Linked DNA regions of Alligator mississippiensis. The protein of the gene in region 2 purifies or fractionates together with the protein of the main gene of each other region. This does not show direct contact. Links are inferred from orthologs where the notes say so. Each region holds a gene or a part of one and is shown on either strand. Other genes may lie near its edges. The genes, in order: IMP3, MPHOSPH10 and IMP4.

Region 1 (7,047 bases), on a different chromosome or scaffold from region 2:
CAAGAAGAGATTGTAGCAGAATGGTCCTATTTCAAAGGCAGATTTAAGTTATTGCATTAAAAAATAAATGTCGCACTTCACTGGCCTAGCTAGAATAGCTTTGCTTTCTGTTAATATTTCTATTGCCTTTAGGAATGAACAATATTAACCCACGTAGTTAAGTGTGAAGTTCTTATTCTCTCAGGATTATGACTTGCATTCCTCTTCTGGTTTGAACAAAGATCAAGCTATCTCCAGGCTGCTGAAAATTTTACAAAACTTCTTTGTAAGGGTTGCCAACTTCAAGAGCTTGCAATACCCTCCCTTTTTGCTCACTGAAGGATCAGAGAGAGTATTTCCGCTCAGTTTTGTGTCAGGAATGTAATGCTATAAACAACTTTGCCTCACAGCATGTGTTTCCTCCTGCATGAGATTCCAACAGCCTTTTCCAGAAAGTCTGAAGATGTTAGTCACAAACAGTATCAGAGGGAGCAAAGTAGTTAAAAACAGCTTTAACTCCTTGAGAGTCCCCCTATTTTTCATCTTTGAGTCCAGCTAAAAAAAGAAAGCAAGTTTTAAAGACGGGCAGAGGACTGAAAAGGATTTGTCCTCCACGGTCCTTAGCTGTTGGTATGTTCGCCGCTGCCAGTCAACCCTGAATTAAGGAGCTGGAGTTCCAGTTCCACCGCAGGGGTGCCAGCTCTCTGTAGACCTGCAACGTGTGTGCGTGTGAAACATGTTGCATGTTGTAATGCACACAAGGAAGGCAGGAGACAGTGGCAGTTAAGGATGTTTCTTCTGTGACCTTGGGCATAGCAGTTGAAGGGCTGGATCCCCACTGGCATTTAGGCAGGATCTGGGCCTTAGTGCTTTGAAGTATCAGTTACCCCTCTGGAAACTGGGTCATTCCCAAGCCCTGGGTGTTGCCAGTGGTCATGTAAGCGCCTTAGGGCAAAGCTTCCCAAGAGCGCACAGCATTCATCCTCAAACCTCACACAGGAAAAGTTACCGTCCAACTCTGCAGACACCGGTCCCACAGACACAGAGTGCTCAGAAAACCGCCTGCACTACTGTAAACAGTCCCCATCCTCCCAGGAGAGTAACAGGAAACACCGCGCCTAACACTAACAGATACATTCCGACTAACACTGCACAAACAGGATTCATCTAAAAAAAACAAAACTGCTCCAGCCACACAGGGCAATTTGCTACTTTAAGGGATCATGAGCCAATGTCCACCAAAAAAAACCTACAAGTCTCCCACTGCCCAGTGCAACTGCTTGGAGATGTGATCAGACAAGGGACAAGAAAGCAGCTCCCCAGCCCCCACGGGTCCTCCCCACTAGAGCCTCCTTCGTGGTCAGATAAATTGTGAGCTTAGCCAGGACCAGGAGGAGGTTGATCAGGAGGTCCCAGGACTTGGTGGGGCCGCAGATGGGAAGCGTGCAAATAAAAAGGTGCAGGGAGCAGCGTGGCCAGAACTGTAGTAGGAGGCTCTGAAGGAGGCGGTAAAGGGGCTGCAGCTGGGCACATCCCACGCAGACATAGGTCAGGGTCTCCCTCTGGTTGCAGAAGAGGCAGATGTTCGGGACATCTGTGACACATGCCAGGTATACATACACCTGTGGCGACAGCTCAGTGGAGGAGCCGCCAGCTGAGGCTCACAGGAACACAGCAAAACGTCTGTCCGCAAGGGACCTTTGTCCTCACTGAACACGTCCCGCTACTCAGTGTCTGGACGGGACCCAGGGATGGGGTGGTAGAGAGTAGACCATAAACATGCAGAGCTGGTGGCGACACGCAGCCTGGAAGCAGACCTGCTGGGTATCCCCCAGCTTGCTGACACGGTGCGGTGGGGAGTGCCATGGGGCCTGCTGAGACAGGGGCCCCACGATGCGCTCTGGGGAGCTGGGGGATGCCCGATGTAGGCGAGGGCAGCAAGCCGCCCCACTCAGTTCCTTCAGCTGGAAAACAGCAGCAGGGCTGGAGAAGGCAGGTGCGACTGCGCCTTTAAAGAAACCAAAAGGCTTTTCCCTGAAACGCAATTTGTTTCTTTTTATTAAATAGGAGAAAGGGCGGAGGGAGGGGGTCTGGGTACTGCTGAGGATGACAGTTAATGCAACCGGGTCCAAGGATTTCTGAGAACAGGCCCGTCCGTGAAGGCTGATGACAGCAGAAGGGGACGCCCTGCCCTGGCAGCAGCTGCAGGCTGTATCGGCAGGTGCAGCCTGACTGGGGAGGGCGCAGACACCAGTCCTTGCCAGCTGGCCAGGACGCAGGGCGTCGCTGGAGGAGGGCGTTTCTAAGCCGCTGCCCCCGGAGCCTGGGGTCCCGTCCTGGCGGCGCATCCGGCCCTAGGCGGGCACGTCGAAGTCGTCGCGCTCCTGGTTGTAGTCGAGCAGGTGGCGGCGCAGGCGGGAGCCGGGCGCCCAGGTGATGAAGTCCTCGAGCGCGCGGGGCACGAGGAAGGCGGGGTCGGTGACGGCTTCGGGCCCCACGCGCACGTGGCCCTGCTCCACGAAGGCGACGGCGGCGCGCAGGTTGGGCGCCATGCGCAGGCGGAGCAGCACGCAGGGCAGGCGGCGGCGGCAGAAGGACGAGGCCGTGACCCGGTCGCACTGCTCCAGCGAGCGCGCCGAGCTCACCAGCCCCAGCGCCTGCAGCTTGCCCAGCAGCGCCGCGGTGCAGCGCGCGCGGAAGGCGGCGTGGGCCGGCGCGGAGCCCAGGTCGCGGAGGCGGCGCGCCAGGGTGCGCACGGCGCGGCTCAGCTGGTTGTAGCGCGTGTAGTCCTCGCGGCGCGGGAGCCGGTAGCGCCGCAGCACGCGCAGCTCCGCCGTGCCGCCGCCCGCCGCCTCCCAGCTCACCAGGTCCAGCCGCTTCAGCAGCTTCTGCTCGTGGAACTTGAGCTTGCGGACCATCCTGCTGCTGCTGCTGCTCTACGTCCGAGTCCGAGTCCGAGTGCTCCCGCCGCCGCTGCCAGCCACGTGGCTGTGCCCAGCGCTTCCAGTTCCGGGTGCGGGGCTGCGTTCTCATTGGCCGCTCCCCTTTGTGACGTCACTGTGCGGTCGAGCGTTCCGTTCCGCATTGTTCGGCCCCGTTCTGTGACGTAGGGTTCGCTCTCCGCCCCTTGCAGGCGCCTCCCCCGCAGGTTCTCTGCAACCTGCGCGAGATGTGCTCGGGGCTTCCCCCTGCTCGGATGGCGGAGGGCTTCTGGGGCAGGGTGTCTCGACCCTGGGCTGACATTGCACGCTGCCGCGGCTGCCCTGCTGCAGGCTGGGGTGCTTGGTTTTGTGGGCTTTTTTTTTAGGCTAAGACCAAAGTGTATTTCCTCTCTCTCTCATTTTGCCATCATCGTTTTCTTGGCTGGGGCTGCAAGCGAACTAGGCAGTAAGTCATGTCAAGCTCGGACCAGTGCCCCGGGTAGCAGCAGCATCCTGCGTTATGCTACTGCTGGTGCACACGGTGTCTAGAAAGCACCCAGCTTCCCGCAGCGCGCAGGGATTCCCAGTGTAGTGTGGGCCAGTCCAGTGTAACGACTGTCCCCTTCTTGTGCTACAGATTGCTGGCAGTCACCTACAAGTCAGTGTACTTGGTGCTCTGGGCTGCAGTTAATTAAGTCTGTGCCACAACCTATGGACAGACTTGGGAAACTATAGGCAAAATAGTATGCAGAAGCCTGACTTGTTATCCTAGGTTATCCCAAAGCAGCATTAAGTTGCCTGATCTCAGTGGTTTGTGCCTCACAGGAGACAGAATCTAGTTCTCAGGACTGTAATGGCCGGTCCGAAAGGCATTACGCCTGTGTGAAAAACGTGTTTTCAGGTCGGCTCCTGGGCAATCAGGAATTCCTGTCGCCAGGAGCCAGCCAGTATAATTGACTGACTTGGGACAGACTGCAGAAAGCAAGCTCTGAAGGACTTAGGGAACTGAACTATACTTTCAAGTCATCTCCTAATTTTGACCCCACCCTTGAAAAGGCAACACGAATAAGCAGACCTGGATACTAGCTACTCACATGCTTTTGTGTTATTTTCTTTAACAAAGGTCATGACATTGGGAAAGCAAGAGGAACATTAATAGAAGAACCCTTCAAATTTTCCTTTACTTTTGCATTCTGGACTGACAGAAGGAGATCTGGAGAAACAAAATTAGTAGGTAAGAATGGGTTTCAGTGTGCTCAGCTATTTCATTTTCATTCTTCAGTGGGCTCAGCTATATTTCATCTGCAGGAAGTAAAACAAAAGAAGTAGGATTTTATGCCATTTCTATGTCCCAGCTCTGCCTTTACGGGACCTCCTCATCCCTGCAAATGCCTGCCTAAGAGCAGCTGCAGGGCCAGGCCTCACATGCCTGGGTTCTCTTCAGCACAGAGTGTGACACTGTTCTGGGGATGATGCCGGCTGGACTCAAGCACAGGAGCAGAGGTCAGGAATGCTGATCTGCATTCCCATCCCTGCCAGAGTCTGTGGAGCTTCAGACAGATCACTCCTGTGCCTTGCCTTCCCCACAAGCAAAACAGAGATGAGTCTCCTGTGTGGTTACTTGTGTCATCACTGACAGCTAGGAGAAGTGGAAGTTAGTATTTTATACCTACTTCACTTCCTTCTGTGGAGGAAGAAATGATTAGACTGGGACCAGAACCATAAAGAATCCAACAAGAAGGATTTGTCAGAGTGGTAGCCTGACATTCAGTTTATCAGAGTCTGGAAAGCATTTTGAGATCTAGAATGCAAGTCATGACAGCACGGCGTGCTTGACTTGGCCCACCCTTAAAATAACTATGGAGATGTGTGTCACACGCAGACACATAGATTCTATATACCTCCTGGTCACTCAAAACGTGATCTGAAATGCTGATAAAGTTCTAGCCTACATTAGGCAAGCCACTAGCAAGCTTGCGGTTTGTATGTGGTCACAGGTACGTGTGAGCACTTGGCCTTATCTGCAGTGTTGAGGAAGTTGTAAATACTCCAGAGCTTAAAAAAACAGGCCAATTTTGTTATGTCTTTTCCTCCATCCAGTTGCATACATCCAACAGGGAAAGTGCTTCATGTCCTAACACTAACTTGAGACTGTTTTTAAGCAGTTGAAGTGCTGAGGTTTGTGACATAGCTACTGACCACAGGTTACATATTTATTAGGGGTTTATGATACATACTCTGCTTCTGAATTAAAATAAAGCAATTCATCTTTTAATACTTCATATACTGTATGTATATGTGTGTATACATACATACATATATATGTCTAATATATAGATAGATATAGATATATCTAGATAGCTATAAAAAACGTTACTCCATGTCAAAGCAAAGGTGGAAAGAAAATAGGATAGTTCTTCAATGGGATCTCAGTGCAACTAGCAAGGGAGGTTGGGGAGCAGAAGGAAGGGATTCAGAGATCATCTAGAGGTGGAAGCTGTGGAGAGAATATATCAGGAGCTGAAAGGTGGGGCAGCAAAGGGATCAGAATGAGGCATCGGCTGAAAGACAGGCAGAAGGAGATGGGGGCTAAGCTGGGATGGGGCTGTGCAGGGGAGGCTAATAGAGTCCCCAGTTTCATAGAATCATAAATTGTACGTGTGTGCATGCACATGTATGTACATGGGATTAAAGTGACATGTCTCCCCAGCTGTGTGACACAAAGAGCTGCACTAAACGTGACAGCTGTGTGAGGGGATGGTGTTGTGCTGCCAGAAGGGGAGCCCTCCAAAATGCTCCTCTCAGGCTTTGAACAAAGATGGAACTCCTACATCCAAAGGCAACCTCCTGCTCCTTGTGAGACTCATATGTCAGCTCATAATCAGGGGAGGCCACATCAGTGCAAAAAGCAGCTTTAATTTATGGTTGAACCCTAAACCTCTGTAGCTCTGTCCAGAACCATCTGCTTTTTGTCTTGCATGAACCCCTGCTTGCTCCCAAAAGAGAGAGAGACTCTAGCTGTTTTCCACCATCTTAACCACTCACCTCCCCAGTGCCCTACCACTGGGTCCTGCTGCTATAGCTTATACTCTTTTGCGAATATAACCTCTGTCTGAATCTGGCCCTTTAGTTCTGTATAAAGCATTTTACCCTCTAATGTACAGACATCTTAAAACTACCAATCTGACGCTGCGTACAAGTGCTATGCAGCCCCGTGGGACAGGAAGTGAAGAATCCGGATAAAACTACAGGGAGTTGATTGAAGTGGGCAGACTGTAATTATCAAAGGAGGTTGAATTTTCCAAGGAAATCAGAGCTCACATCCTCCCCCTCAGCACATGTACAAAGCAGCTATCTCCCCCAGTCCTCAGCACTTCAGTCAATACCCTGCACTGCTGAAATTCTATGATCTGTGTTGTAGAGGAAGTCTTACTCGATGACACACAGTATGGTCCCTTCTGGCTTTACATCTGTGATTCTCATGCATGGTTCTTTGGACCCCAATTGGTAGCTTGGTCCCAAACCTTAACATCCTGAATCTTTGTTCTCCTGTTCTTTTTTCCATTGCATCAGTTTGCTGGTCTGAAAAGAAGAAAAGAATCTCCCAAGGTCTGTTGTGGTTTTTTAGGTTTGGCTGTTAAAGCGCTGAAGAAATGGGAACCAAAGGCACTGCCAAGTTTTACAGGATCCCTGAAGGGAAGGGGCCTTATTCTGTTGGCTGCACAGACCTGATGACTGATGACACCGTTCAGGTAGGACACCTATATCTGTCCTGTCCCTCCCCACTTAAATCACTAGCCCAGCACTAGTGTTAGATACTGACTACATGGAAAGGTCTGCTTATTCAGGTAGGAAGAAAATCGCTGCTGCTCAGAACTAGAACCAAGCCTGCTTAAGCAAACAGTATTTTTTTTAATGACTTAAGCAGTGGCAGAATTCACACTGGGTGGTTAGTGTAGGGCAGACAGGTAACACCTCTGGTCCAAGAATTGCTGTTAATGAGCTGATATGGTGGATGCTAGGATCAAAATGTTATATGAAACTGACAGGCAGATAAGTACCTTCCTCCAGCCTCCCAAACTTCGGGGGAGTGCAGAACTGGATCTAGATCTAAACATGAACGTTGTCGCTTAGGCCCACCTCTGAA
Region 2 (7,253 bases):
CCAGGGCAGATGAATATTAACAGATTGGATAGAATGGCCTGGCAGGTCGCCTTTTGCCCACCCACCCGTGTTATACCGTTGTTCAAAATAAACACAGTCATTATCAACAGGACAGTTACAAAATACTCAAATATACATACTCAGAAATGTCTTCTTCAATCTCATCTTCCTCATTCTGATCATCACCATCATGATGAGCTGGATTGTCATTGTCATCATCATCATCATCACCACCACCAGAATCAAAGAAATCTTTATATTTCAGGTCTCTAGAACTTTTAACTGGCTGGGAAAACGGTAAAATAAGAGATTACCTGGTGATAGTGACAGAGATCTAACTGAATCTTTTATTCTATGAGAGCAGTGTTATTAAAAACTGCAATGGTAATTCAATTCATTTCACTACTGTTTGGCTACTAGGCTAGATCATGGCTTGAATGGTGTCAGGTCTACATATTTATCACACAAATTTTATTTTTGCTTGCTTTAACCGCACAGAAGGAGAAGAGCCATAGATGTTGACATTAATTTGTTCTTCTATAATGGGAGAATACATAGCTCTCAGATGCCTAAGTCTATCACTTTTAGAAGTGCCTCAATTAGCTTTCTTTCATGACAAGCACATTGAAAAAACAGAACAGCTATAAACATTACTGTAAAAAGCATGAATGTTATTTTCCAAGTTAATACTCTGCAGATTAAATCACAGCATTATGAAACCATGACCCTCTCCCATCACACCCCATTCCTTGGAGATCATGACCCCTTTCCTTCCCCCCTCAAATCTCTAATCATACAGAACCCCGTTGACTTCAATAAGATGCTGCAGAGGCATGAAGATCCTCCTAAACCTACTAGAATTCTCACTTCTGGGTAGGGACTTGTGTGTTCACACACACTCAAAGCAAAAAATATTCATACTCCACAGGGGATCATTGTCATGTGGCTAAGTTTGGCTAAATTTCTGGTTTCAGTCCACCAGTTTGTGATTTAAACACAGCATCTCTTTTGGAGAAGTATCTGATCTTTAAAGATTTCAAGTAATGGAGAAAACAGCATATTCTTTGTTATTCTAATTCCTGTTGTTAATTACACTTACTGCCATTTCAACATCCTTAAGGCAGCTGAAGATCATTTTAGGTATTTAATCATGACAAAAGCATGTCTTTAATAACTATGGAATAAGTTTTAATTCAAGAGTTATTTTTATTTAACCAGCTTATTGCCTAGTAGCTTTCAATACCTTTACCTTGACTTTATCTTTTCCCAATTCCTCTTCATCCTCTTCCTCCGAATGAATATCTTCAAAATAATTAATCTCATCATCATCCTCTTCCATCTCCCGCCTTTCTGTCTTCTCTAAATCATCCAAAAAGGCTTCCATCTCACACAGCTTGAAAAATTTATCATCCACTATGGACTTTTCCCCTGTTTTTTTCGAAGTAGTCATCTTTGATTTTTTCGTTTCTTCCTCCAGCTCATCAATATCAAAATCAATATCTGAATCCTCATCACTGTATTGCTGCCTCTTCAATGTTCTGGATTTAGTTTGCTTTTCTGTATCCTCGCTTTCATCTTCTGCATCATCTGAGATCTGGTCTGCTTCCATACTGTCTTCTGGTTCCATTTCCTTCTCACTACTCGTCTCTGCATCCGAACCATCTTCTTCTTGGACTGGGATAAGGCAAAGATCTTTGTCTTTAACATTTCTAGCAACCTCGTTTTTGAAATAGTCCAGAACTGCATCATTCTGGAGCTCAAGCTGCTGCCAGATCTGTTCTTCATCAAAGCTCTCGATCACCAGTTCTTTTAAGGGACTCCCATGGATTGCATCTGCCCCTAGCACTTTATGCAAATCGTAAAGAGTCTTTGTTAATGACCTGAAGTCTGCAGCCAACCCGTCCTGCACACTGAGGGGAAAAAAGCACATTCAAAACTTGAAGAAAAGCCATGAACTTTAAACTTTGAAGTAGTGCTACATGAAAAAAAACATAACAACTATAAGACTGTCTTTTAAACACGCTCAGTTGCCACAACTGGACCAGTGATCAGGGCTTGTAGCCAGAAGTGATCTTTTATTAGACTAACAAAATTTTTGCAAATAATTTGGTCCGCGGGTCCAGGCACCTCCTGGCGCTGCGGGCTGCTCCACGGTCGAACTGGATGGAGCTCACCGCTTGCTGTGACCCTGGACGTGGGGGGGAGCGGGCCGTCCCCTCCCTGGCACTGCTTCGTCTCCTCTGCTTTCCCCAAGAGGAGGCCAGATGAGGCGCAACAAAGTCAAAACCGGGGAGTAGTGAAGAAAACCCATCTTCCCTTTCTTTCTTGGAAGAATTTTTTTTTTGCAAAAATCTAGTTGGTCTAATAAAAGAAGTCACCTCTGTCCACGAGCCCCGATTGCTTTTTCCTCTGGACCAAATACAGCTACAACCTGGATGCGTGACAAATGCCCCGGTACAACCCAAAAGCTTGCCGGGCCTTCCCTGCCCTCCGTGTCAGCAATTCCCCCGCCGGCTCGGGCCCAGGGGCGCCCGGGTTCGCTACTACCGGCTCTGACTCCGCTGCAGCCCGTCTGGCCTCCTCGCGGTGAAAGCAGAGGAAACGAAGCGGCGCCGGGACGGAGCAGCCCCCGCCGCCCTCCCGCTCCTCAGCAAGGGCCGAGGTCTGTCCGGGAGGCTCCTGGACCCGCCGGCCAGGCCCCGCGGAGAAGAAGCGCGGCTGGTGTCCCCGCAACCCCCCCTCCCCGCGGGGCTTTCCCTCGGGAGCGCGGGGCGAGCGGCACCGGCCGGGCAGGGCCGCAGGCAGCACGAGGGCCCAGCCCCCGCACGGGGCTCTCCCGGGCCGGGCCGGGCCGGGCCGGCTCGGCTGTCCTGCCCGCCCCAGCGAGCCGTACCTGAGGAAGCGCTCCGGCTGGGCCGCCGCTCCGCCCAGCACCTGCAAGCAGGCCTGCAACCGTCCGCGCCCCGCCGCCATGGCCCGGCCCGGCTCCAGTCGCCCCCCACGCGGCGGAACCTGGAGTAGTCACCGCCAAGAGGCTCCGGCCGGACGCGTGGGCGCCAACAGCGGGTTCCGCCCCGCCCAGGGGCCCTGCCCGGCGGGCGGGGCGAGCACGGCGCACGCGCCCCAGGCCCCGCGGGGGACCCGTGTGGAGACCGCGTCCGTGTGACGCGCCCCGCCCGCCCCGGGACCCCCGTGGCCATCCCAGCGGAGGGCAGTCCCGAGGGGCTCCTGCGTGAGGTGGGCCCAGGCCGGCAGAACTCCCCAGCAGAGAGAAGGGGATGGGGTATGACAGAGGCCTGTAAAATAATGGGGTCTGGAGTAGCCAGGGCTGACCTGCCGGCAGCCTCTGGGCACTAGAGCTGGGCGCAGACGTGCATTCCTAGGGAGCAGATTGAAAACACGCAGGGGCAGGATTTTTCTGGGTGCACAGTTCACTTGGGAGACTTGTTGCCACAGGACGTTGCAGAGGCTGGTTGCTTTGGCAGGTTCCAAAGACATGGCTTCTCGTGCAGCGGGGGTCCAGTGCCCACCACAGCAGGGCTGCGGCTTTCATATTCCTATTTCCGAGGTCTCAAAATGTTGGAAGTTGCAAGGGAAGAGGCAGGGGGTAGGTCAGTCTGGATAAGCCCTTCATAAAGACTCTTTATGCCCTATGCCCTTTGCAGCTAGCTACTCAGTGCCACTGTGAGATAACCTGGGTGAGACAAACCTGTGATCTGACCTAGTATGGCATCTCTTAAGGTCTTACATGTCTGGACAGCTTGCATCCTCTCTCTTCCTATGCAGCACCACTATACTATGTATGTTACCTACTCTCACATACAGACACATGCTGTAAAACTATACTCCCTAATCTCTAAAGCCCAGATATGCTTAATGAAGCATCTCCTGAACCTCTTACCTCCTCGTGTTCTTAGCCTCTTACGTACCCTTGGTCTTCTCAGAACAACGAGGATTAATGTTATACCTCCAATTACTTCACAAATTCTCCTGTTTCCCTCCCAGTTTCCAAACTCTCCTACACAGGTACCCCAACCCACCACCTTTCACATACATATGTACATCTGGTATGACATCTCTGGAACTCTCAGCCTAAATCACACACCCCTTTTGCCTCAAATTTTCTCCTTTCCACATTCCTCCCCAAGTTTCTCTCACTGTTAACCAGGTCTATCTTATCCTGGGTGGCTCTTTAGGCTAGCATAGGTGCAGGAAGCCAGTAGCTAGTGACACACAGACTAATGTAACTAGCATCCTATCCAGCCACATCCCACTTTCCAGCCTGAATCTACCCACTTGCAGCTGTGTTGGCCCAGGAACAACAGCAGGGCTTGTATTTGTGCCTCTGGATCCATTGTGAGAGACCTTTTCCACACTGGCACAACAACCTTCACGCTCACCGTGCAGCCTCCGGAATATTTTTGTTCTATCTAAGGGTAGCAAAGAATTGTTTTCCTTCAAACTACACAATGCTTATTTTCCCACCTAATAAAACAACAATGGCAGGATAAACTCTAACTAAACTATAGATGCCTCCAAATCATAAATCCTGTAATTCTCAGTATATAAGGATTCTAGTTATGCATACTTTTGCAAGAGGGGCATTTTAAGTTGCTTGTAATCTAGAAAAATGCATTTATATTCAGCTGTTTTGAAAAGTTGTATTCCGTTTAGGCAGAGTTTAATTTTGTTACTGTTAGCATTATTTAATAAGCTGAGTGTGGGTGGTAAGAAACATGAATCAGAGAGTGGATTTTACAGTAATCTTAATGCAATGTAACATTATAGTTATAAGAGTAAATAAAGTAAGGAATATTATTGTTACTATTATGAATATTTTAATCCCAGACCTTGTTTTCTCCCTTTATTCCCATGCCAGTTCCTTCTACTAAAGTAAAAAATTCCCTCCTCTCTGACCTTTTCTACAGATTCACTATTTGTGCACAAATTTTTTGCTCTGCAGATCTACTGTCTAGAACAGGAACATGCAAAATACAACCTGCAGGCTGGATCTAGCCTGCCAACTGATTGGATCCAGCCCACACCCACCAATTGATTGGAACTGGCCCATGGCTTCCCCCGCGGCACTCTTCAAAGGGCTGAGTCCTGCTCACTCCTGCCCAGGGCAGCCTGCACCATGCTCCTGCCCATGCTTGCCCATAGCCCCAGTCCAGACTGCAGCCAGTGTGCACAGCTTAACAGTGGGGCTGCTCCCAGGGCTGCTGCAACCACCTAGGGGCTGCTCAGGTCCCCCCACCCCCATCAGCAGCTCCTTTTTCTCTGGCCCCTGCTGCACCACTCAGGGTGGGAGCAGGGAGTTGCAGCTGAGCAGCTCCTGCCCCAGCATGCAGGGCTCCAGATCCAACTCCCACCCAGTGCAATGAGCAAGCCACCTGCAAGTGGCCAAGTGGGTGGAAGGTGGCCTGGAGCTGGTGCCCCACACACTGGAGAAGGAGCTGCTTAGCTGCAATGCCCCACCCTCACCTGGAGCAGCATAGCAGGAGGAAGAGGAGGAGCTGCTGGAGGCAGTGGGAGCGAAGCAGGACCTGGGCAGCTACAGCAGCAGGAGCAACCCCACCAGGAAGTTATGCACACAGGCTGGGGCCAGGCTGGTGTGGGTGGGAACAGGCAGAGCTCAGCCCAATTCAGAATGCTGTGGGGGCAGCTGTGGACCAGCAGGAGGGGACACAGACCATGCTAGCACCTTCGCTGCCCTGGCAAGCTCTGTTGCATGCCCCGCCCCCCCAGTTCCTGGGACTTGGCACGCAGGCAGCCACCCCCTACATGCATGCACACCCCTCCACTCACCTCCAATGCCTCCTCCCCTCACAATATACAAGAGTAAGACTTTATTTTGAGCTATTATGCAATCATCTCTATATACACTATTTAAAAAACCCCCACAAATCAGGACAGCAATTATTTTTTTAAATAAAATGTTATACTAAAAATCAAACATCTACTGTATGTATCATCTATAAATTTATTAAAATTATATATTCTGAAAGATTTTAAGTGAGGGGTCCTTGACAGCTCATCAAAACTGATTAAGTGGTCTGCCAGTTGAAATAATTGCCCACACCGTTCTAGAAGGACACTCCAATATATGCAGAAAGACAATAACATGCACCTGTGACAAGATAGTGCCCAAGGGCAGCTATATTACCTCCTTGTGGCCCCCTCTGTCTTTTTTGGTCCCACTCAGATCTCCCTGGATGACAGCCCATTCACTTGTCTACCATACCTTGTTGGTAGAGAAAATTAATGGGGGAGGCTGCCCACCTGAGATTGGCAAGTCCTCTGGGGCTCTCCCTCTCTCCTATTTGTTTTTGGTACTTGTTTCCTCAGGTCTTCCTTCCTCCCCTACCACCACACCAATATCTCACAGATGACACAAGTTATCATTTGAGTGTGCATCTCATCCCTTTACACAGCTTGGCCCTCTGGCCACAAAAGTTTTGTTGGGGCTTTAGCCCCCTTCCTCTAGCTCAGTGGTTCTCAACCTTTTTTGTACTAGGACCCATTTGTAAACATCAGTGGCCAGTCCTGACCTAGTGGCCCTGACTCCCAACCCATTGCTCCCCATGCCTGGGCTCCAGTCCCAGTCAGCCCCTCACAGGCTAGAGCTCTGCCAGCCTGAAAGGGAAAAGTCAGTTTCCCAAGTTTTTCTCCTTTAAAGGAGAATCCATTTTTAAAGTTTGTTTGCAACCCTTTTGATATATTCTTGCGACCCACAGGTTGAAAAACACTGTTCCTGACCCCGGCATCTGGGCCCCAGCCCTGGTCTCACCCTTCCAGGCTCTGGCTAGCCTGCTCATGTTCAGGCCTCAGCCACTCCCCTTCTCTGTCTTTTCTGGTTTGGGTTACTGGCCCTCTGTCTCATACTCCCACCCTGGCAGGGCTGCTACCATGCCTTCCTGCCATCCTATGGCCTCCTCCTCACAGCCACACCTCATCCATTAGTATAGACTGGAACATAAAAGGAAGAAGCTACAGCTTTAACAAAAGCCCACCCTGCTCAGAACAAATAAATATAAAAGAAAAAAATGCCTTCCCATCACTTTAACAAAACCCTCTCATTCTCAGGGTAAAATAAACACACACCCTTTCAACCCTTATCTCCTGGGGCTCTCTCCCTGCTCTGTTTCAGGTGTTCAATGCTGATTGGAGTCTGCCAAGTACCTCCTGGAATACTAGCTCCCTTTTATGTCTCTCTGACCCTCAGAGAGCTGAGGTTTTTAAACACCTGGGAG
Region 3 (7,865 bases), on a different chromosome or scaffold from region 2:
GATTTCCCAGGCTTCTGGGATTTACTGGTTGCCCCTGCCCCCTTCTGCTACATGTCAGGGTGTTTTTAAGCCCCTCTCAGAGACATTGGGAGTTGGCTGCAGCCCAAGCTGGGAATGTGACTGGGCTGTAACAATGCTTCTGCTGGGATTCAGCCCTGGAAGGGCCTGGCTGCAGGGTCTTGCTCCTCTGGTCAGGATCAGACTGATGCCATATTTGGGGCAAGGAAGGAATCCCTTCCCCCCCGCCCCCAAGGTCAGATTAATACAGACCAGGTAGGTTTTCCTGCCTTCCTAGCATGGGCATGGCCTCTGCCTGAAATGTCTGAAGCATTTATTAACCATCTTTAACATCAGCAGGATGTTGACTCCTGTGGTGGTCTGGCTTTTCCCATGGCAGGTTTGGGTGCGAAGTCCGGTGTTGTGTCATGACTGACAGTTGTTTTACAAAGAGCTCAGACAATGGCTTTGTCTGGGATGGTTTGGGTAGGGCTAATCCTGCCTTAGGGGCCAGGTTGGACTACAGTCTCTGATCACCAGAGGAGTTACGTAAGCTAACTATAGTACTGTGGCTTTGGATATCTATCTATGCATCTATCTATCCATCTGATAGACACACACACTAATGTTGTGTATGCACACATGCACATATATTCATTTTATGTCTCAACATGTGCACATGCACTTTACACACATACACACTCATTTTATATATACATATTATACATATGCATGTGCGCACATATCCATGCAGACACACACTACACATACATCTATTTTATATACACACACACACACACACACATTTAATTAATTTTGTGTGTACACACACACACAATCAAAAACACACAGTTATTCACAGCTATGTGGTTGTGCAGGTCACCATGGTGCCCCCAAAAACCTTCAAAACCTTCTATTACCTCAGTCCAAGGGTTTGGGGTACCAGCGGGTTGTTGAGAGACAGGATGCTAGAGAGACAGGAGTTCCCCCTCTACTCATATGAGTTTATTCAGCAGACAGTGCACACTCCCCTACCTAGAACTGCACTAGCTACCTTGCAAGTGAGTCTTGCTCCCTATCTTGTGGATCAGACAGGTCAGGGTCTCACTCAGACATTCAGGGCCCTGCTACACATTCAAATGAAAGCTGGCTAGAAACTAGTCATAAAGTTGTGACGTATTTTCAAGCACTAACTTTGTACCTGCTTGGCTCTCTTCATAGCTGGACGGTGATTTTTATAACGTGGTAATTACTTTGTGCTTGTGGCCAGTCTCCATTTATTGCATGCTTGACCAGTTGATTGCAAGAACTTCTTTGCATGTTTGGCCCATCTAGTTATTGCGTTACTGAATAGTTCAGTGTGTGACAATTTATTTTCATTTATGGCTTCCCTAAATGCATTGGGTGATTGACTAGTGAATGGCATGATAATTCCTTTGCTTGTGTGGCCAATCTACTTATCTCACACCATTCACTGGTCAAGTGCGTAAATGTAATGCGTGTCAGGAGCCTCTGGGGTATAGTCTAGCCATCCAACAATCCCTTAGTTCCAACTTTTTCTATGCCTTTTGTGACTCGTATAGTTATTTCTCCACCCCCTCCATGACTATCACTATGGCTACTGGCCATTTAGAGGTTATTTGCATAATTGATAAGCACCCCCAGCCTGGCAGATCTTTTTCATCACTTTGTCTCTCTTTCTAGCATCATCTTCTCACTGTCTGGGACAAGGTTTTTTTTTCCTGGGACAAAACCTGCACCTGCTTTGCTTGGCTTTAACAAACAAGTGGTTTTCTGGCCAGGTCGAGGGCTGTGTAACACCCCATATGTAACACCTTGCGGGAGCAGGCACAGGTAGCTTTTATGGTCCCACGAGGATCCCCTGTACATACAGAGAATCACCTAGGTGCCGGGCTTCCCCCTCCAACAGACTTTTTTAAGGAAAATTTCCATGTCCCAAGTCAAATCAGGCAAATCAAATCCAAATCCGTGTGTCATTCAAGAACCATATGTGGCCCTGCTACTGTCAAGCATCCCACCCCAGCCAGCTGGGGCTTCAGGTACTTCCAAATCCTTTGGCAGGCATCCTACGTGCAGGCCCAAGCCCAGAGACCTGGGGTTCGGATACCCTTGAGTTTTGCCTGCCCTCAGCGGTATGGTTGCAGGAGCAAGCTAGGGAGGAATCTCCCATTTCTATAAAGTCGGCGAATAGCCGAGATCTTCCCACTTGACATGAAAGTGAGAGGCTAACTATGCATTACCTCAGTCAGGGTATTGCCCCCTGCCACATTTGTGGTTTTCCCCAGGCAGTAGAAAAACTACCTGGGTGATCATGGTGTCTCCCCTGCCAGATAAGTACATTTACAGGGTGCCCCACATGAGATTGACCAGGCACCCAGGCCTTACCCCCCTCCCCCAACACACACAGGGAACCCAGGTATCTTGGACCCCCATGCACAGAGAACACATGCACCCAGGCCTCTCTGCTCCGTGCCGCTCCCCATACAGAGAACTAGGCATCTGGGACCCCCCCTCTACACACACCCGGCACCCAGGATCCTTTCTATACAAACATACAAGAAGCCGAGGCATCCAAGACTCCCCCCCACCAACAACATGACCCAGGTGTTCAGGATCTCTCTCTCTCTCTCTCTCTCACACACACACACACACACACACACGCACACACACACACACGGCTTCTGAGCCTCCCGGGCAACACATACAGAGAAGGCAGGCATCTGGGTCCCCTCAAAACACACACACAAAGGAACCCAGGTATCTGGGACACTGGCTGTGCAGAGCTCCTAATTTATTGTCCCCAGGGGCCGTTGTCCCAGCAATACAGAGGGGAAAGCAGGGCTCAGCCCACATGGGCCTGGTTCAGCAGGGCACAATACTGAGTCCGTATTGCCTTCACCCGGTTCTGTAGCGCTGCTACCTCCCCTGCTAGTGCCAGCCCTGGGGATTGAGCGAAAAAGTCAAAGGGTGAAAGATCATGGATTTGGGCTAATCGTGTGTGCGCGTGAGCATGTGGGTGTGCATGAGGCGGGGTACAGTTTCCATCTTGTCTTCAGGAGCATAAGTCAAATACTAGAAGGCTAAGGTCAGGGGTCAGTGGTGGTATTCGGGGGGGGTGGGGATGGAGGCAGGGGTCCCAAACCCGTCTTCAGTAGTAGAGATCGGGGGCAAGGGTGACCGACCAAAGGTTGGGGTGGCAAAGATGAGGGGTCAGCCATGCCCCTTGGGGGTGGGGGAGGAAAGAGAAGGCCCTTGGGGTAAAGATCAGGGGAAAATTTCCTGCACTAGAGGTGTGAGAGGGTCCTGAACCCACTCTGAGTGGTGACAAATCCTGCCCTAGGTGGTACAGAGACCAGGGAGCCCCGATTCTGCCAGGGCACCTGATCCTGTCCTCAAGGCAAATGTCAGGAGTCAGAAGGCTAAAGCCAGGGGGGGCACCCTGACCCCACAGAGGGAAAGAGGGGCTTAATCCTGTCCTAAGAGAGGCTGAATGCTGCTGGGGGTGGTCACTCACCCTCCTGGAAGCTGCGCTGTGCCTGCCGCAAGCTCTGAGGCACCAGGATCCCGAACCAGGTGAGGGGGTCACGGCCTCCAGGCCCCTTCACTGGCCCCGGCCTTTGGAGGACCTCAGCCTCCCCCGCTGGTCGCCTCCCTCGGTGCCGCAGCCCTGGGGAAGGATATGACAGGATCATGGTGCCCCTCACTCCCAACTCACAGCACCCCCCCATCCTCTCGTGGTGCTCCTCACCCCTGACCCACAACCCTCCCCCCCGTTACCTGTCACCTCCTCCTGATCCTGGGGTCCAATCTCCTCCACATGCCGTGGCTCCGCAGCCACTTTGGGGGCACCCAAATCATCACGAACGATCTGGAAGTTGAGGTGCCCATCTGGCCCCTCGCTGGGGAGGGAGGGGGCGTTGAGGGAGATAGGGAGCAGCACCCTGGCAGAAAACCCGGGCATCAGTGCCCCTCGCTCCCGACCCACCTGACACACACGCGAACGTGCGGCTCCATCTGGGCTCCGTACTGCAGGGCCGACACCGACTTGCAGCCCATGGAGAACCGCGCCTTGGACAGCGAGAACCAGCCCTGACGGGGACAGATAGGGGTTAGAGGAAGGGCAGGTCGAGAGTGAGAGGCACCGGAAAGGGGGGGGAGGGGTGGTCTCGGTCCTACCTGCTCCACGCGGCCGCTCAGCGCCTCCCGCCGCTCCCGAAGCGCCTCCAGAGTGTCCAGAAGCTCCAGCACGAGCGCATCCAGCTCCCACCGCAGACCCAGGATAGGCCCAGGCCCAGGCCCCGGCCCAGGCCCAGGCCTCAGCCCCGCCGAGCATCGCCCCTCCTCCACCGCCGCCTCCGACATCGTCCCCGCACCCGGACTGAATCCCGGAAATCCATCCCGGCACGGCTTCAGGTCGGACTGGGGGTTCCCCAGCTGTAGCCAGCCAGAAACCAGCTGTAGCGGGGCCCCACCAATCAAGGCGCATAGCGAGTAGCACTGCCAGCTCTCATTGGCCAGTTGCTCTTGGCGGGTTCGAATCCACTGCCTCCTTCTTGGGGGTGGGGCGGGCCAGGAGGAGCGAAACGAGCCCAATTGGGTCCCCGTTGGCGACCATCTTAGCCGAGGGCAAAGGCCACCATTCTTGTGAGGGGTTCGTCAGTCTGTTCCCTTTCTGCCATCTTTGTTTAGGGCACACTGCCCTGAATCCTCTCCATCATTCACATTTCCTATCCGCCATCTTTGTTCAGGGCACACCATGGCCCTGCTTGGCTGTTGGCGCCGCTAGGTAGCCTTCTGCTCTCTGATTGGTCCCAAGAGCTCGATCAATCGGAGGCAGCGGTGTTGGGCTCCCACGTGGAGGAAAAGAGCCGGAGAGGCAAAGCCAGCACCATGGTAAGGGTCTGTTGGTTATTGTAGGGTCACACCTGAGGGTGGGGGCCAGGGCCAGGGGATGATCTGTCTCCCCCAGTCCACGGGTGACACCCGCCTGGTTCTTTGCTTCCCCAGCTGCGTCGCGAGGCCCGACAGCGCCGCGAATACCTACAGCGCCGAGCACAGGAGGAGCGGGTTCGGGCCAGCAGCGAGCGCAAGGAGCAGCTGCGGGCGGCGCTGGACGGTACCACCCCCACGGCCCCACACTACCCCTCACTCCCGCCAAATTGATGCCCCTTCCCCCTGCTCGGAGTGCACCCCACTTGGCCCGTGGTACCTCTCCCTTCCGACCTGCGTCCCCCGCCCCCCGTGACGTCCTGTCTCCCCCCGCAGAAAACCGGCTCCTGCCCACCGAGCTCCGCCGCGAGGCCCTGACCCTGCAGCGCGCCCTCGAGTTTGACGGGCCTGGTGCTGACGGTGAGTGGAGTGGGGTGGGGTCCTTGTCCCCCTAGGACTCGAACCCGTGTGTGTGTGTGTGGGCGGGGTTAAGCGGGCCTAGACTTAAGAGGGGGTAGGGTAGGGGCGGGGCGGGACCAGACAGGCAGTAGGGGCGGAATACGGGAGGGGGTGTGGCTAGGGGCGAGGCTAACCCGTGCTTGCCGTCCAGGCCTGCAGGTGGCTGAGGATGACGAGTACCGCTGGGCAGGGGCCGAAGACCCCCGCGTCATGGTGACAACCTCGCGAGACCCCAGCGCGCGCCTCAAAATGTTTGTGAAGGTGCGAGGGGCGAGTGCTGGGGAGGGGGTGCGGTTTAGAGGGGCCTATCCCAGGGAGGGGAATGGGGCTTCAAGTGGCTGCATGGTTTGTAAATGGAGGGGGTGGGGTATATACTCCCGGCCGGGTGGGGTGGGGCGGGGTGTTTCTGGGGACGGGCAGAAGGAGCAGGGTTTGTAGCTTGTCAAAGGTTACAGGGACCCGACCTATATAAGGGCATGGAGCTGGCTGGGCTAATCGGGGCTTCTGCTTTGGAGACTGGGCTTCAGGAGGCCCCTCTAGTGGGACAGGGCAGAGCTGTAGCCATGGTGGTCCTGGGAGCTGGGAGGGGCGAGGCTTGGGCAGTACGGGGTGGGGTTTAAGGATAATCCCTCCCCCTCCGCAGGAGCTGAAGCTGGTGTTCCCGGGAGCACAGCGGATGAACCGGGGCCGGGCAGAGCTGGGGACACTGCTCCACGCCTGCCGCGCCAATGGCCTCACTGACCTGCTGCTGCTTCATGAGCATCGTGGTGTCCCTGGTGAGGCCTTACCCCTTCTGCCCCCACCATGTCCCTGCTCTCTTAGCTATATCCTGCTTCCCTGGACATTGGCTTGGTCATGCCCCTTCTGGCCCCACCCATTGTCCTGGCTCTGCTCCTTCTGCTCCCTGGCCCTGCCCTCTTAGCCAGTGGCTTGGCCACACCCCCTCTGCCTGCTGGCCATGCTCCGGCCCCCCTGGCTCTGGCCATACTGTCTTGGCTACACCTCTTCTGTCCCTTACCATGCCCCTCTTGGCCAAGCCCCATCCTCCTGGACCGCCTCCTGCCCTAGGGGATGCTGGGAGATGCTTCTCTCACATGCATGTTGGGAAGGGCTGGTGGATAGAGCCTAGTGGTGCATGCTGAGAATGGGGTGGAGCCAAGGATTGCAAGGTGTGGCACAGAGCACACCAGAGTGTGTGTGTGGGCGCTCCTCCAGAGCTGAGGGGGTGATAAGAGGAGGGCAGTGCCTGTTGGAAGGGATTGGGCTTGCTGGCAAGGCCCCTCTGATCTCCCCTGGCTCCATCCCCAGATAGACTGATCTGGCAAGGGGTGACACAGTGTAGTGCATGCTGGGAAGGGGTGGTGGGCAGAGCCTAGTAGGGCAGGCTAGGAAGGGGTGGAGCCAAGGATATAGCCAGGGCTAATGCAGAGCAGTGCCTGTTGGGAGGGGGCTGTGGGTGGGAAGCAGTGCATGCTGGGGGCATACGGCCTGCTGGCAAGATCCCGCTCCTCCCTCCTTGCTGACACCACCCCCAACCCCTGGCTTTTTCCCCAGATGGGCTGATTGTGTCACACCTGCCACTGGGCCCTACAGCCTACTTTACACTGGCCAACGTGGTGATGCGCCATGACGTACCTGGGATCGGCCCTGCGCCCCAAGCTGCCCCTCATCTCATCTTCCATGGCCTCACCTCTCGCCTGGGCCAGCGTGTGAGTTTGGGTGGGGCCTCTGAGGAACAGGTGTGGCCGAAGGGAAGGGAAGGGGCTTGAGCTGAAAGGGCAGAGCTTGGGTTTGGGGTGGGATTTATGGTGGGATGCACCTGTGGGGGCTGCCATATCTAAATTATTCCCCCACTCTGTCCCTCCCCTCCCCTCCCCAGGTGACGAGCATCCTCAAGTACCTGTTCCCAGTGCCCAAAGAGGACAGCAAGCGCGTGGTCACCTTTGCCAACCAGGATGACTACATCTCCTTCCGGTGGGTCCAGCTGTGGGGGGCAGCTGGGAACGGCCAAGTGTAATGGGGAAAGGGAGCTGGGATGTGGCTAGCTCCAGGGTGCAGCCTGTAGGAATGGCTGAGTATAATGCTGTACGGGGAAGACTGAGATATGGCCAGATCTGGGCTGGGGTGCCTGGAAAACAGCTGAGCATAATACTAGAGAGAGGCCGAGCTGCAGCCAGCTGTGGAGTGAAACGACTAGGGAACAGCCAAGTATAACATCACACAGTGAGGGCTGAGATGCAGCCAGGTCTGGGATGTCAAACAGCCAAGTATAACACCACAGAAAGAAGCTGAGATGCAGCAAGCTCTTGTGGGGAACAGTTGGGGAATGGTTGACTATGATGCCCCATGAGGAAGCCTGAGGTGGAGCCAGTTTTAGGGTGGGGTAGCTGGGATTGGCTGAGTATAATGTGACGATGTGGCTAGCTCTGGAGTGGAACCGAAATATAACAGCACATGGT

The links.
Region 1: the proteins of MPHOSPH10 (region 2) and IMP3 purify together in Homo sapiens (affinity purification with mass spectrometry; 4 studies listed by BioGRID and IntAct, with this or other methods). This does not show direct contact. The link is inferred for Alligator mississippiensis from reciprocal best matches to the Homo sapiens genes MPHOSPH10 and IMP3.
Region 3: the proteins of MPHOSPH10 (region 2) and IMP4 purify together in Homo sapiens (affinity purification with mass spectrometry; 3 studies listed by BioGRID and IntAct, with this or other methods). This does not show direct contact. The link is inferred for Alligator mississippiensis from reciprocal best matches to the Homo sapiens genes MPHOSPH10 and IMP4.

The regions. Positions count from the first base shown.
Region 1 is NC_081824.1:13,427,643-13,434,689, reverse strand, and holds the start of IMP3 (U3 small nucleolar ribonucleoprotein protein IMP3), read right to left. Parts: upstream 3,057-7,047; 5' UTR 2,898-3,056; coding exon 2,334-2,897; 3' UTR 1-2,333. Other genes in the region: PLA2G7 (platelet-activating factor acetylhydrolase), read left to right, coding at 6,554-6,652. UniProt on the Homo sapiens protein: Component of the 60-80S U3 small nucleolar ribonucleoprotein (U3 snoRNP). Required for the early cleavages during pre-18S ribosomal RNA processing. Part of the small subunit (SSU) processome, first precursor of the small eukaryotic ribosomal subunit.
Region 2 is NC_081834.1:35,430,964-35,438,216, forward strand, and holds the start of MPHOSPH10 (U3 small nucleolar ribonucleoprotein protein MPP10), read right to left. Parts: upstream 3,069-7,253; 5' UTR 2,974-3,068; coding exon 2,894-2,973; intron 1,911-2,893; coding exon 1,250-1,910; intron 287-1,249; coding exon 141-286; intron 1-140. UniProt on the Homo sapiens protein: Component of the 60-80S U3 small nucleolar ribonucleoprotein (U3 snoRNP). Required for the early cleavages during pre-18S ribosomal RNA processing. Part of the small subunit (SSU) processome, first precursor of the small eukaryotic ribosomal subunit.
Region 3 is NC_081831.1:27,572,830-27,580,694, reverse strand, and holds the start of IMP4 (U3 small nucleolar ribonucleoprotein protein IMP4), read left to right. Parts: upstream 1-4,836; 5' UTR 4,837-4,908; coding exon 4,909-4,911; intron 4,912-5,025; coding exon 5,026-5,134; intron 5,135-5,283; coding exon 5,284-5,367; intron 5,368-5,557; coding exon 5,558-5,667; intron 5,668-6,049; coding exon 6,050-6,182; intron 6,183-6,960; coding exon 6,961-7,145; intron 7,146-7,285; coding exon 7,286-7,380; intron 7,381-7,865. Other genes in the region: uncharacterized protein LOC102559449, read right to left, coding at 3,533-3,685, 3,796-3,917, 4,004-4,107, 4,195-4,380. UniProt on the Homo sapiens protein: Component of the 60-80S U3 small nucleolar ribonucleoprotein (U3 snoRNP). Required for the early cleavages during pre-18S ribosomal RNA processing. Part of the small subunit (SSU) processome, first precursor of the small eukaryotic ribosomal subunit.